Linked DNA regions of Lonchura striata. The protein of the gene in region 1 purifies or fractionates together with the protein of each later gene. This does not show direct contact. Links are inferred from orthologs where the notes say so. Each region holds a gene or a part of one and is shown on either strand. Other genes may lie near its edges. The genes, in order: CDC42BPB and FAM167A.

Region 1 (7,097 bases):
CAGATTCTTACAAGATTTGTAAAGCAATGGAAGCCACAAACTGCCCCAAGGCAAAGGACCACACCCTGCGCTCTTCTATGGTTAGCAAATAGGAAGATTTAAGCCTGTGGCAGGACTACCAGGAAGCAGCAGAGGAATTAATAGGACAGAAGCAATGGCATGCACCATTTGGAGTTTATCAGCCTCCACAGGTAAGGTGCACGGCTTCCGCAGATGTTGAATAGAGAGGAGGTAGCTTAAGTTTCACAAGATGAACATGGGACTTTTATTTTCTGGACTCCTCATTTCTCCAGCGTCCACCAGCTACAGAGTATGAACAGCACTGTGCTCTGTCAGAAAGCAGAGATATCCATGTCCAGCAACTACACCACACAACTCAGAATCAACCTCCTCTGCATCCCACAGCCAGAAAAAAATCCTGCCTCAACTACCACACCTGAACTCTTATTTTCTCTAGCCAATTATGAAGGCAAGCAAGCCCATCAGCCACATTGAATAATTTCAAGGGAATTTTACATGTGTGATACCTCACACCCAATTTTAAAAAAATGTTTGTTACATAGCTCATCTTAATTCAAATTTAATACCTATGCAGCTCATTTCCATTGCCAGTGGTAAGTCACCATCTTGTCAAAAGGAAATTCCTTCTGTCTCCAATTGATAAAGAAACACTGATCTTCAAAGTATATCCCAAATAGTTAACTACATTCTGATGCTTCTATAGACACATAACAGCACAGAAAACTTGTGCACATTAATCCAGAATATCTCCTAACAGCAAATCAGTCTCTAATTAAGACACATCATGACATAAGGAAGATGAGCATGTTTGGCATGATATTTTCCTTATTAGCTGGAGGCAGAAACAAGTTCCTCGTCAGTGGAAACACACTGTGAGGGCATTAGGACACAGATAAAAGGTGTCTCCTTGCTGGCACTTAGCTGTTTTTAACAGCTTGGAGGAAAGGAAGCAACACACAGTATCAACTGTAATTGGTTTTAAGGGTATCCCTTGTTGATGGAACACAAATATACAGTCCAGACTTAGGTCCACCCCCTTACCATCAAGAGCCTGGATTATAAACTTTTATCCCCACTCTGCAGCACCAGATGGTAGCTCACATACATTTCAATTATTTATTGAATAGGCACTTTGTTATACCAGAGTAATCCCACACTGCAGTAAAACCTACACAGTTTTTATTGCGAGCTATACTTTTCATCAAGTCAGTAACCTTTTCACATTCAGTGAACACAATAAATAGAATTAAAAAAGCGATTTTATAAACAATTGGATAATCGGCCTCTCCATCACACAAAAAATGACAACGCTGGGATCAATCAGTAAGACACAACCACCAGCAGCGCTATAGAAAAAGCATATCATTCTCTGGCCTGCCCCAAATCCTTCCAACTTCAGTTTTCAAAGTATGCTGCAGTCTGATCTATCACACTTAACAATTTGCTGGTGCTCACTCCTTCAAGCCATCAGCTTGAAAACAAAAAACTCTGAATGCTCTTTGCTGAAGACATACAAAGCTTCCATGACAAAACAAATAATCAATGTTCCCCAGGCTGCAGCCTTGCGGGGCAGATGTGATAAAGTGGTTAATTATTCAGTTGGCAATCGCATTACTGACGTCAATAGAAGAGTCCAGGAAGTGAATCCTCTTAGTTTGTTAGTGTATGACAAAGAGTGGTGGTCCCCACAGAAATTAAGGAGAACCAGCTGTCCCTTCATGTTAGTGCTGTCCTCTCTAGTGCTAAAGACACACATTAGCATTTACTGAAGTAAATCTGCCCCTCCCTCTCCCTTAGGAAATCCTTTGTTTTGTTGGTTGGCGTTTTTTTTGTTGTTCTTTGATTTTTTTGAAGAGTGCTCTTTTAAAGCCTAATTAACTGTACATGCATGGAACAGCTGATAAACGGGGCAACGTTCTCGTGAGCAATGATCACTCTTCCCTCCCCTCCAATTCTTATTCCATGGAGAAGTCACCTTCGTCATACATTATTATTCATAACTTACTCAGCTGAATAAACCAGTCAGCCACCATGGCCGTTTTAACATAAATTCGTTTAGACATGCAGTAGGGAAGGATCTCTGCTCTCCACATACCTCTAGTCAATAGCCTTAACTAACCAACATTGGATGTAAAACTTTTATCCTAAGTGCCATCAAAAGTATCCACATCTTCTTTTGTCAGTATGCTCCGGACTACTGGAGGTCTCTCGTTATCAGCCTGCTTAACAGTAGGGAACCATTAAACAAAGCTCTTAGAAAGGCTGCCTAGAAATACTCTGTCCTTGGGGGGCATGCCCAAATTAAAGAAGACAGCATGATGAACGGGAACTGTTGTTTCTTCGAGCCACACACACACGCCCTCTGTAAAGCAAGGAGCCGGCACCAGAGCAACATTTCAAAGCCTGAGCCTGGTGCTCTCCCCTCCTCCCCTCCCCCGGGTAGGAAACCCTCCGAGGAGCACTGGATTAGCCTGACGTTTCGGGCTAAGCCGAGCAGGGTTCCAGGCCAAGGACACTCCGCTGTGCTCCTGCTGCCGGCTGCCAAGCGGTTCGCCGGGGACCGAGGGAGGAGACCGGGAGGGTCAAGGCCCGGCCGGCGGCGGGGGTGTTCCCCAGGGAGGCGCCGCATCCAGGGGCGGCGTCTCCGGCCGCACCGGAGCGCGGTGGGATCGCGGTGGGATCGCGGTGCGGGGCCGCCCCGCCCCGCCGCCTCTCGCCGGGCACCGCGCGCAGCCCCCGCCCGCGGCCGCCCCGGGCTCACCCCACTCGAGGAAGTCGGACACGTATCGGTCGCGGCGGAGCGGCGAGTCGCGGCTGCACTCGGCGTAGACGCCGACCAGGAGGTCGAGCAGGGTCTCCACGCTCAGCACGCTGTCGTTCCGCTGCGGCCCGTCCAGCACCAGCTGCTCCAGCCGCTTCAGCCGCACCTTGGCCGACATGGTGCCGCTCGGGCGGCGGGCGCGGGGCACGGACGGGACGGGGCGAAGCGAAGGCCCCGGGGTTCAGCCGCTCTCGGCCGCCCCGCGCCGCCTCCCGCGGCCGAGCGGCTCCTTCCACGGGCTCCGCGTCGGGCACGGACGGTCCATGGGCCGAACCCGGCCACCCCCCGCCCCGCTCCGCTGCGGCCTCGCCCCGGCGGCGGGGAAGGGCCGATCCCGCTGCCGATCCCGCTCCTCCTCCCCGGGCCCGGCGCGTCCCTCGGAGCGCCTCCGGCCACGCCCCCGCGCGGCGCCCGCGCGCTCCGACGTGGGCAGGGCCGCGCGAAGCCGCGCAGGAAGGTTGGGCCGCGCGGCGCGCCGTAGCGGCAGATTCGCCGCGGAGGGCGAGAGCGGCCGCGTGGGCTGCACGTCCGCGCTGGCACTTTCGTGTTTCTGTGTGGGTGTGTCTGTGGGTCTGTGTGCCTGACCCTGTGTGTGTGTGTATGTGTGTGTGTGTATGTGTCTGTGTGTCTGTCCCTCTCTGTATATGTGTGTGTATGTGTCTGTGTGCCTGACCCTCTCTGTATGTGTGTGTGTCTGTGTCTGTGGGTCTGTGTGCCTGACCCTCTCTGTATGTGTGTGTGTATGTGTCTGTGTCTGTGTGCCTGACCCTCTCTGTATGTGTGTGTATGTGTCTGTGGGTCTGTGTGCCTGACCCTCTCTGTATGTGTGTGTGTGTGTGTGTGACCCTCTCTGTATATGTGTGTGTGTGGGTCTGTGCCTGTGCCTCTGTGTGTGTGTTAGCCCCAGTCAGGAGGTTCTTTTGGCTAAGATCTGTGTGTCCTTTCCAGCACGACAAAGGAGCCCTAGTCAGCGGGACAGGCAGCATCCCTCCCGCACGGACCTGCTGGCGCTGAGGAGCTTCAGGCACGCAGCACATGGCGATGCTGGTGTCTGTCTCTGTGCACAGAATCACAGACTCTCTGAGTGGGTCTGGGACACAGCGGGGTCTTGTCCAACCTCCCCACTTGAGCAGTGTCACCCCAGAGGACACAGCACAGGATGGCATCCAGATGGCTCTTGGATGTCTCCAGTGAGGGAGACTCCCAGCCCTCTCTGGGCAACCTGTTCCGTGCATGGTCACTGCACAGTAAAGGTCTTCCTCAAGCTCGGGTGGAACTTCCTCTGCATCAGTTTCTGCCCATTGCCTCTTGTCCTATTGCGCAGCACCACCAAGAAGAGCCTGGCTCCATCCTCTTGCCACCCTCCTTTCAGATACTTGTAGACATTGATGGGGTCCCCTCTCACTTGTGTTTTCTTGAGGCTGAACAGGACCTGCTCCCTCAGCCTTTCTTCATAATAGTGATGCCCCAGTCCCCCAGTCATCCTTCCTATCTTCTGCTGGACCTGCTCCAGGGGCTCCATTGCTAACTTGCAGAAAATACTCCAGGCCCAAGTATCCTATTGCTGAACTATCTTAAGTGTAATACTAAAGATCACACCTACAGGTCAGAAAGATCCCTGCCAAGATGAAGACACTTTCTCTGAGCATGTGTAGAAGTTAGCTGGGGTTATGTAACTTGTATGGAAATAACTAACCAATCTTAGTAGAGGGGCTGAGCTTGGTAAGTTGCTAACTCTGATTTTTGTTTATGAATAATGGTGCAGAAACTCCGGTGGCTTGTGCTTCATTTGTGCAAGACCACTGAGCACCCAGGCTTGCACAACCCTGAAATAAATTATCAATGTCTCTCTTGAGTGTGCAATTCTTGGCTTGTTGCACACCAGATATGATTCCCATTTCATGGACAACAGTGTGTGTGCCCTGGCCTTTGCCATCCCTGGCTCCAGGGCAAAGTCCCCTCCTCACTGGTCAGGCAGGTGCCCTGGGGACCGGGCAGCCTGCCCGAGCCACCCAGCCCCACACCTGGCCATGCCAGGCCATAGGTTCCCATGAAGGATGTGGTGACCCCAAGGCCACCATCCCCACAAGTCTTCACCAGATGCTGTGGCCACTGGGAGAATTCTCCTACCATATTTGGAGTGGGACCTTCTCTTTCCCAACCTTTGTCATGATTCCCTGCTCTGTGATTTGCCTCAATGGAGCAGGCATGGCTTTGCAGCAGGACATGGTGTCTGGAAGCTGTGGCTTTTTATACCTTTTAGAACCTCCCTGGTGACAGGACTTTATTTCTCAGCAGCAGCTAGCCTGGGCAAAAGAGCCCTGCGTGTTCACAGCTGCTGTCTTGATCCCTTGAAGGAGAAGGGAGCTGGGTGTAAGGCACTCAAACCTTTCCTCAGCACTGCTTTTTTTCCCATCACAGCTTATTCTGAGAACTGTTCTCTCTGGAAGCTGCAGCACCTCAAGGCAAGATGCTGAGTAGCTTGGGATGGGAGTTCACTTCTGCAGGAATGCAGCCAGTCAGGTCCTGATGCAAAGTCGAACTGGCTAGGATGCTGTTTCCTTGCCTGTCTCCCCCGGCAGGTAGTTGAAGTGCTGTGCGTTCAAAACCATGGCACTGGAAAGGAGGCAGCCGAGCGCTGGTTCTGTCTGGGCTGGGAACACCCTGCCCCCAGCAGCAGGAGCCAGACTGGGCTTTGCTCATGGTCAGACGTGACATGTCAGCCACTGCTGAAAGACCTGAACGTTCCCATCTGCCACCTCCAGGGCCAACGGCGAGGCCAAACCCAAGCAGGGCTGCACACGGGAGCTGCCCTTTCCCAAGGGTCTGGAGCACTCCCAGGCGGAGCCATGGATATTTATTGTGGAGCAGACCATGGGACACAGAGGGCCAGCAGCTGATTACAGAAATACCTGTTTCTAGGATCCCTTGGCCCTCAGGCATGTTTGATATCTCTTTGACAGCAGTTCAGTTCATAATAATCCCATCCTGTGCATTTGGACCTAGTACCCGGGTCAAGAAGATACAGGCGTGTAGAGACCTGTTAATTCGAAAAAATGCAAGTTGATAGAAGATCCTATGAATCACACAGAGAACCCATCATTTTAAAATAATGAAAACCCACAGTAGACTAAAATAGTTTTGTTTTTCCTGAATAACTTCTATCTCTTTGTACTTCTTTCTGCAAACATCCACTTGAAAAAAAATATTTTGCAGCAGATCTCGAAGGTTTCATTGTTCTCTCGAGGTGTTCCTCCTTGGTTACAGTTCCTTCATCTGACCTCATACTGTGTCGTATCACAGATACATTCATTTAGAGAAGCCTTGGTGTTTCAGCAATCACAATTGTTCTTCTGGTGCTGTCGTTTTATTTAAAAGGAGAGCCTAACATTTTCAGCTTCTTACCACTTTGGAGAGTAATTTTCACGCAGTTGATCAGAGTAATGGCCAGCGAGAACAGAGTTTTAAAGATCTTGTTACAATATCTATCTTAGCCCTTCTTATCTGTTCCCGCAGGTGGTGATTATCATCACCTCCTTTAGCAAGGAAGAGATAAAGGAGACTACAGCTGGAGAAGAAATCGCCATCTCTACCTACAGATCGCTCTGTTGTTTCCAGTCTCCTCACTCTGTTTTGCATTAGCAGAATTCAGGGGTTCCGGGAGCTATTCCTGACTGGCACCAGTAGCAGGGAAGAACCGGCTCCAGTGCTGGGAGAACGACAGATGGGTGACAGATGATATTGAATCCAGCTTTAACAGCTATGGAAGCTTTAGTACAGCAGACCAGCACGTGCAGGATTATTTATGAGTGATGCTATTGGTATTCCACAATTAGTTGAAATTTTGTTTTAAAAAAACCTTGCGAAGAGTTGAAAGCCGTGTGCATTGTAAATAATTCTGGGTTTTCATAGCAAGGGTTTCAGCTACAGAAAACTACTGAGCTCAAAGGTGGCATTTGATATTCCTACTAGGAATTGTACATAAACTTGGAAATGTAGCTGAAGGTATTCTGCTTCTGTTACTCATCTGTGCCAATTCCATAGGCTAAAAATAAATGTGATCTGGCTAAAATGAATTAAATTATCCATCTTACCAGTTCCTTTTTCCTGTGGCATATTTAAGTGGAAAAATACAGCCCAGTTTTTCTGGAACAGATCTGATTTTAAATTTTTTAAGGGTTTTGTTTGTTTGTTTAGTTTTTTGGGTTTTTTTTTGGCAAGTGAACAGGTTCTCAGTTTTCTGGAATCATTGTAG
Region 2 (7,786 bases), on another chromosome or scaffold:
GGTCATGGCAGAGCCCTCAGTGACACTGAACACGCTGCCCATGGAGACCTTCTGGCCACACTCCTGTCTGTGAGCTTGTTCCTTTCTCCATGGAAAAATGGCAGCAGTGATGAGACCAAAATGGGCACTAGGCATAGATGTGGACATGACATTCACAGAAAAACAGGGAAAAGGGAAAAAGAGGGGCTTTCCATTCACATATCACCTGGAACAAGATGAGAGTTTGCTCCAGCACTCCCTTCTGCCCAAATGGCCTCCAGAAAGAGCCCTGAACACTGCAAGGGAGGAGGGGAGGGCAGTGGGGGCTGCAGAGAATCCATCAGAGGAGTGGAGGGATGCAGAGGTGGCTGCCCCAGCCCTGGCAGTGTCCAAGGCCAGGTTGGACAGGGCTTGGAGCAACCTGGGATGGTGGAAGGTGTCCCTGTCCATATCAGGAGGTGGGTGAGTTTTATGGAAGGCACCTCCCTCCCAGCCCAAACCATTCTGTGTCTGTGAGATTAGAGGGGACCAGTTTGCACTCCCTGCCCCAAGGCACTTCTCCCTGGCTGATTTCCAGCATCACCGGCAGAGTCAGAGCCTGTTTCAGTAAACACATCTGCACCTTCCTGCCCGACTGCACCTCATCCCTCCTGCGTCCTCCACACAGCTTCTAGCTGGGAGCAGGGCTGAGGCTGCTGCCTGCTTCGGATGGAGCCTTGCAGCTCCATTTTCAGACCACTTAGGCTCTCCTCGATCAGCAGATTTCCAGGCTTTGTGTGGAAATCCTGCATGAAGAAGTATTTGGCATTCCAGCAAACCAGTCTTCCAGTCAGCTGGAAGTAGCTGCAAACTGGGGAGATGAACGGGGGTCAATGCTTTCAACCCATGAGCCCAAACCAGGCAGGATTCCTTTTAGGAGGGAAAGGATTAAGGAGCAGAAGCAAAGGCAAGTTTTCAGGCTCTTGGTGAAGTCACTCTGTCCACCTTTGGTGTGTTCTGAGCTCTGTGGAGCCACGGATTATGTGCAAGGGTTTCTTCTCCATGCACTGCCCCAGGCTGCCAGCAGGTTTTGGAGCTCATCTCAGGGGTGGCACAGCTAACCTGTTCCCAGAGATGCCCCCAAAGGACCTGTGGCATGGCACAGCTGGTTGTTCCCCCTTTTCCCCTACTGCCACTCCAGGCACGGCCGCATTTCGGCAGGGAGACCTCTGTGCCTGTGTGCCCAGGGTAATGAAAAGGGCTGGGATTCCTTGGGAATGAGCCAGGGCAGGCTGAGAAATGCTCTCTTCCCAGGAGATTAGTACGGGGAGCTATTTTTTTCCCCAAATGCAGCATGCAAGGGTGTGTTTTCAGAAAGAGAAAAACAACCTAACCTTTTTGTTTTGTTTTGTCGAGCTCAAATCTGCCCAGCACTGAGCTCAGCCCCTGCAGGGACAACGCCAGAGCCAGCTCCCACTGGAGACCCCCAGGCTCCAAGTTAACATGATCAGAGGAGTGGGGTCAGCCCCTCGGTGACCCCCTAATCCCCTTTACATGCCCCCTGTCCCATCCAATTATCCAAACCATGATCGTCCAGCCTCTGTCCTCAGACCTGTCTTCTCCCAGTGCTGAGCTGCACTGTGGGATTTAATATCATTTAAGATCAGCCGGTTGCAAACAGACCCTCCTCTCCCTCCCCCCAGAAGGGCTACGCTGCTCTGAGGCTGATTATTTTTAATTTTTTTTTCTTTTTCCCTGCAGTGTCTCTGCTACATTTTGCAAACACCTAATGGCTGCAGGGCTGCTGCAAGCCCAGAGCCCGGCAGAAGCCGGATTCTTCCCGTCCTGGTGGATTTTTGTGGTGAACAGATTCCCCCCCACCAAGCTCCCCATGAAGGATGGGGGGAATTTAATGGGCATTTGAAAGCAGAGAAAAGCCGGGATGCAAAAACCAGCAGCAGCTCCCGTGTGCTGAAATGATGGCTGGCACAGAGCAAACCCACAGCAGCCAAAACAGGCTCGTTCCCGCTGGAAAGTGGGGAGTTCCTCGGATCCCGGGGACGAGCAGACAAAGCCGGAGGAATCAGCTGGGCACAGCTCCTCGCTGGAAGCCAGGAACTTGGTTTTCATCCATCCCCACCTCCCCCCGCCTCCGCTGAGGTCTCCGATGTAGAGAAGCTCCGGAGGGCGCAGGATGGTGGAAAAACGGGGGGTGCATTGCAGGAAAACGGGGATGGGGGTCCCTTGGAGAGGTACCCGTGGTGGGAGAGGTGTCAGCGGTCCGGGCTGTGGGATGGGGATGCTGCCTGGTGTGCAGCACCCCGGGGCGCTGGGGCTGGGCTTGCACAAACACTCGTGCTGGGCTGGCGCTATTATTTTAACAATTAGCCGCAAGCTGTTATAAAGGGCTCTGAAGAAGTTCTGCCTGGGTTTTTTTCCCCCCTCTCCTCGGTGTAAACGTGAGCTGCGAGGGCCAGACGTGAGCAGGTGGAAACCTGCTCTGCTCAGCACACGGTGCCTGGTTCAAAAACCCGAGGTAGATACGCCCTGCGAAGCCACCACGCTCATCCCACCATGTCTGCACTGCACAACCCCACAAACCTTTCCAGGTTTGGAAAGGTTTCCAGGGCTCCTGCACATCTCAGGCTGGGGGCAGAGGGAGCAACAGGTGACTGTCCCGAAAGCCGGGCAGCCTCTCCCCCGTTACATCTCACCCTGTGCAGGAAAATCCTCCTGGAGCGGGTGAAAAGCTCCACGCTGCTCCCGGCTGAGAGCAAAATCCACAAACATCATGGGAAAGGAGGATTCAGACATTCCCGATCAATGGGGAGCCACCGTGGCGGTCATTTCCAGGGAATGTCGGCGAGGCAGGAGATTGCGGCTGGGGGGACACTGTGCAAACCCCAGCCCCGCCACGGCAGAGCCAGCTCGCCAGACCCCGGTGCTGCTCGCTGGGGTCCCCATCACCCCTGTCTGCTGCTCCCCAGCTCCTTGCCGGGGTCCCCTCCAGCCCCGGGCAGCTCTCCGGCATCTCCCGTGCCGGGTGTCCCCAGGGTGGCTCTGTCCCCCCAGGCCACCACCAGAAACAAACTCACCGGGGCTGGAATCAGAGCGGGGATTGCACGGACATCTGGGCTCCCTCCTTCCACCTCGGGTCCCCAACTTGGTGTTCGCAGAGCGGTGTCACCAGTGCCTCCCGGAGTCTGTCTCATCCTCCTGCTCTGTGTCTCGCTTCAGAAATCTGTGCGTGTGGTGGTTGGTTTGTTGTTGGGTTTTTTTTTTTTTTTTTTTTTTTTTCATTTAGGGGACTCTTTTTTTTTTTTTTTTTTTCCAGCCGTTGCGTCAGGGCTGTTGCCTGGAGACAGGCGAGCTATTCCAGTTTGAGCTTTTCAGCGCCGATTTCCTCTCTCTCTTTCATTCATACCACCAAGCCCTGAACCTACCTCCCACCAAGCAATAACCCTGGAGAGACCTGAAAGGGAGGAGCTGCACCGCCCGGGTCCTAAACATCCTCCGGCACCCAGGAGAGGGAGGAAGATCAGCGATGCTTTCGGCGTGGAGAACAGGGATGGAGCGGTCCAGTGGAGGGCAGGTCCCCTCGAGGCTTGCAGGAGATGCCCCGAGGGCTGCTGTGCTCCAGAAGGAATCTACGGCTCTTCCCGACACCAACCTGCTGGTGTCCCCATGCAGATCGTGTTTCTTTCCATGGATATCAGCCCCACAAGGAGTTCGGGCTCCTCTGGCCTTCAGGAGAGCTTTGGGATAACGTTTTCCAGGTGCCACAGCTTGCCCACTACGTGTGCCGAGGGGAATTTTGCCAGGATGCATCAGCACCTCTGGGAAGCCCCAGGATGGTGCCCCGGGGCTCCAAGGCTGGTACCATCCATCCCCGGGCAGAAACCAGCTTGGGAACCAGCCTGCGCCTGAATTTTGTGCTGAGGAAGCTCCCGTTGCTGCCCCAGCGGGGCTGGAAACCATTTTAGCTGCCTCCGAGGAGGGACTGAGAGAGGCAGCGCCCCGGCTGCCGGCTGAGTGGGGTCCAGAATCAAAGGCAGGAGACAGAGGGATTTCCTTCCTTTTTTCCTTCTTTCGCCAGAAGTTGGAGGTTAACCCCTCAAAGCCTGGGGGCCGCTCTCCAAAGCATCCCACACATCACACATCTGGGGGCTCAGAGCCACCGCCCGCCTTTGCAAAGCTGGTGCTGCGAAGGGTTAAGCCTTGACCCCGAACCACCCAGGCCCCTCCCTCCATTCCCACATTCAGCTTTTGTGAGAGAAACCCCTCAAAGCCTTTTTATTCCTTTTTTTTTTCACCCTTCCCTTTTCCTGCCTGATCCATCCCCTTTCCCCCCCGAGGGCAACAGGGAGATTTACAGCCCCTTCCTGAGCTCCAGCATGGAAGGGCTGGGATTTCCCACCTCCCTTCGAGTGCCAGGGGTGCCCCAGACCCCACAGTAATTTAGAGGCTGTGCCTGAACAGGGTTTGGAAGTCTGGAGGGCAGAGAAAGGGGGTGCCCTGGATGCAGCAATGCAGATTCAGAATGAACTGCAGCATTTTCACATTTCTGATGAAAATGCAAATTTTTTTCAATTTTTTTTTTTTTTTTTTTGCTTTGCCAGCATCCATTTTTATCAGATTTCAGATCTGCATATGCAAACTCAGCCTGGTGATCAGCTTTCACTGTGCTGCAAGGAGGCACCTGAAGGCTGATGATGATGGAGAGGCACCACAGGAGATGGAAGAGCTGTTGGCTGTTTCAAAACTGTCTGACAAAGACCTGCAGGAGCATTTAGCAGCAACAGGAATCCCAGAATCCCAAGAGGAGTCACGTTGGAAGGTCACAATAGATCAACTGTGCAGCCTCCCTGCTCCAGCAGGGCCATCCCGGAGCACAGGGCACAGGGTTGTGTCCAGATAATTCTGGAATATCCCCACTGAAAGAGACTCCACTCCCTCTCTGGACAATCTGTTCAGTGCTCAGTCACTGCACAGGAAAGTTCATCCTCATGTCCAGGTGGAACTTCCCGGGCATCCATTCCTGCCCATTCCTGTTCTCCTGTTGCTGGGTCCCACAGAGCAGAGCCTGGTCCATCAAGCACGTAGAGGTTCAACGTTTCCAGCAACATCTCATCCAAATCAAAACCGATTCTGTGCCCATGAACCAAGCAGCACCAGGGGACAGACAGGCACAGGGTGAAACAGCCCCTGGCCCGGTTTTGGTGTGGGATGAGCAATCCCAGGACATGGCTTGGGAATGACCAAGACTGGGGCCCCTTCCTGACAAATGATTTGGATTCAGCCACCCAGATTTGATAGCCAGGAGCGTTGAATCACAGGGACGTGGCCAGACTGGGTCAGTCGGCCTCACGGCCAGAGCCCAGGTCTAGCAGGGTGAGTTTACAGCAGAGGTGTTGCTCCCAAGGCTGGATGTCTGTCTGTCTGTCTGTCTGCCTGTCTCCTCGCAGGAACAGACCACACACCGTCACCCGCTCCTTCTTCTGTAAATGTTTATTTTTAATTTGGTTGCTTAATGGATTTCAAATGAGCTGCCATAAGATAGCAGTGAAAGGCTGCAGCCACATCCCTCTGAAGCCAGTCCATGGGTTTGAATGTTTTTTGGCCTGGATTTGTCTTGGATAAGTTGTGTTCATCCAAAAAAACACTGGTGGGGAGCTGCTGAAGAAGAGTGGTGCTCCCGCTGGTGATGCAAATACTCTAACACCAGCCACCTGGAATGGACACCTGAAATTAGGTGTGATCAGTCAAAATAAACCTGTGCAACACCAGCACTGTCCACATCTATGGCTCAGTATTTTTTTCTTTTCCTCAGACACAAGAAATCCTTTTTGTTGCCCATAGAACTCCAGGGACTGCCAGCTCCCACAGCATCCCTGGGCACAGGACCTTTTCCAGAGGACTGCTGAATCCTCGGGAACACATGGATCCAAGCCTGAGTTATTGCTGGGATGAGGTTTTGCAAAGCCCAAGCTGGAAATTGCTTGCTGTAGTGGTAGTTTGTAGAATCATGGAAGGGTTTGGGTTGGAAGGGACCTTAAAGATCCTCTCATTCCACCCCTTACCATGGGCATGGACACCTTCCACTGTCCCAGGCTGCTCCAAGCCCTGTCCAACCTGGCCTTGGGCACTTCCAGGGATAGGGCAACCAGACTTCCTTGGGATCCCCTGTGCTGGTCTGAGCACCACAAACTCTCTAAGGTGCCTTAGAACCCCCTAAATCTTACCTGGACCTTTTGAGCTGCCTCTTACCACCCAAAATGGGCAGAAATGGCCATTCCTTTACCACAACAGCAGCAGCTCAACTCAGTTTGGAGTTGAACCTTCTGCTTCTTGCCCTTTCTGCTGGATTTTGGTGGTTTCTCCCTGCAGGTATCCTGCTAACAAAGCATGGAGGAGCTGGATCTCCTGGTAGGATTGTGTGGCCATTCTGTGGGACCGGTGCTGGAATCCGGCACAAGCATCAATGCTTTCTTCTCAGCTGGTCCTTAAATAAATATTTTTCCCCTAAAGCAAAGTCCCTGTAAAGAAAAGTTCCTGAAGTACCCAAAGGAACATATAGGAAAGCTGGGACAAGAACATGGAGTGACAGGACAAAGGGGAAAGGGTTCAAACTGGAAGAGAGTGTCTTTAGATGAGATTTTGGGAAGAAATTCTTCCCTGTGAGGGTGGAGAGGCCCTGGCACAGGATGCCCAGAGAAGCTGTGGCTGCTCCATCCCTGGAAGTGTCCAAGGCCGGGTTAGACAGAGCTTGGAGCAACCTGGGATGGTGGAAGGTGCCCCTGCCCATGGCAGGGAGTGGAATGGGATGATCTTTAAGGTCCCTTCCAACCCAAACCATCCTGTGATCTTACAGTTCCCTGGGCCTTGGTCTTTCAAGGATGGGAAGGGAAGACTGGTGGTCCCAACCATCATCGTTCCATCCTAGCCAGGTGGAGCCTCCATGCCCTCCACCGGGACTGGTACCAGAAGAGTCCTCGGGCATGCCTGGAGCATCACCTGGAGATGTGGCAGAGACACGGCAGAGGCACCTCCAGAGGGCAGCAGGTCCCCAGGTGATGCTGTCCCCTGGTGTCCCCAGGAGCAGCAGAGGTCACTTGTGGTCACCTGGCTGCTCACCTCCGTGGATCACTGAGGGACTGGCACTGGTCTGGTTCAGTCTTCAGAGAATCATTGAATGGTTTGGGTTGGAAGGCACCTTAAAGATCATCTAATTCCAGTCCCTTGCCATGGGCAGGGACACCTTCCAGTAGATCAGGATCCTTCCCTGGAGTATCTACTTTATTTTCTCTGTAGGTTTCTCCCAGGTAAGTCAAACATCAAAGAAAAAAGCAGAGGACAATTGTTCCTGAAATCCTACCAAAATCATGGTGGGAGTTTTCAGCCCATTTGTTTTTATTCAAATGTAAAAGTAAATCCATGTGGTGATTGCATAATTAACTTTGTGTGTGCACTGAGTTAGTGAATTATTCTTCCCTCAACTCAAAAATATTTCCCCAAGATCTGAAGGACTAGAAACCATTTCCATATAAAATCAAGACCCTTACCAAAGATTCTGATTGATTTGTAATGGCTTTCCTTTGATAAACCTACTAACCCAATTCATTACAGCAATCCATAAAAGTAGAAAGCATTTTAAAATCTCAGGATTAATATATGCTTTTTCCACTTCTCTTCTTTGCTGTAAAAAAGGGATTTCAGTTCCACTTCCACTCAAAATGTTTGTTGTAAATTAATTCCAGAAATGATAGTGAATAAAAATTCCTCCTCCAGTCTTATCTGTCCACCCAGTAAGGCTACATCACCAAAACCT

Evidence for each region.
Region 2: the proteins of CDC42BPB (region 1) and FAM167A purify together in Homo sapiens (co-immunoprecipitation; 3 studies listed by BioGRID and IntAct, counting the BioPlex papers as one, with this or other methods). This does not show direct contact. The link is inferred for Lonchura striata from reciprocal best matches to the Homo sapiens genes CDC42BPB and FAM167A.

The regions. Positions count from the first base shown.
Region 1 is NC_134608.1:10,474,670-10,481,766, reverse strand, and holds the start of CDC42BPB (serine/threonine-protein kinase MRCK beta), read right to left. Parts: upstream 3,121-7,097; 5' UTR 2,961-3,120; coding exon 2,783-2,960; intron 1-2,782. UniProt on the Homo sapiens protein: Serine/threonine-protein kinase which is an important downstream effector of CDC42 and plays a role in the regulation of cytoskeleton reorganization and cell migration. Regulates actin cytoskeletal reorganization via phosphorylation of PPP1R12C and MYL9/MLC2.
Region 2 is NC_134605.1:110,776,850-110,784,635, reverse strand, and holds the start of FAM167A (protein FAM167A), read right to left. Parts: upstream 3,250-7,786; 5' UTR 3,054-3,249; intron 1-3,053.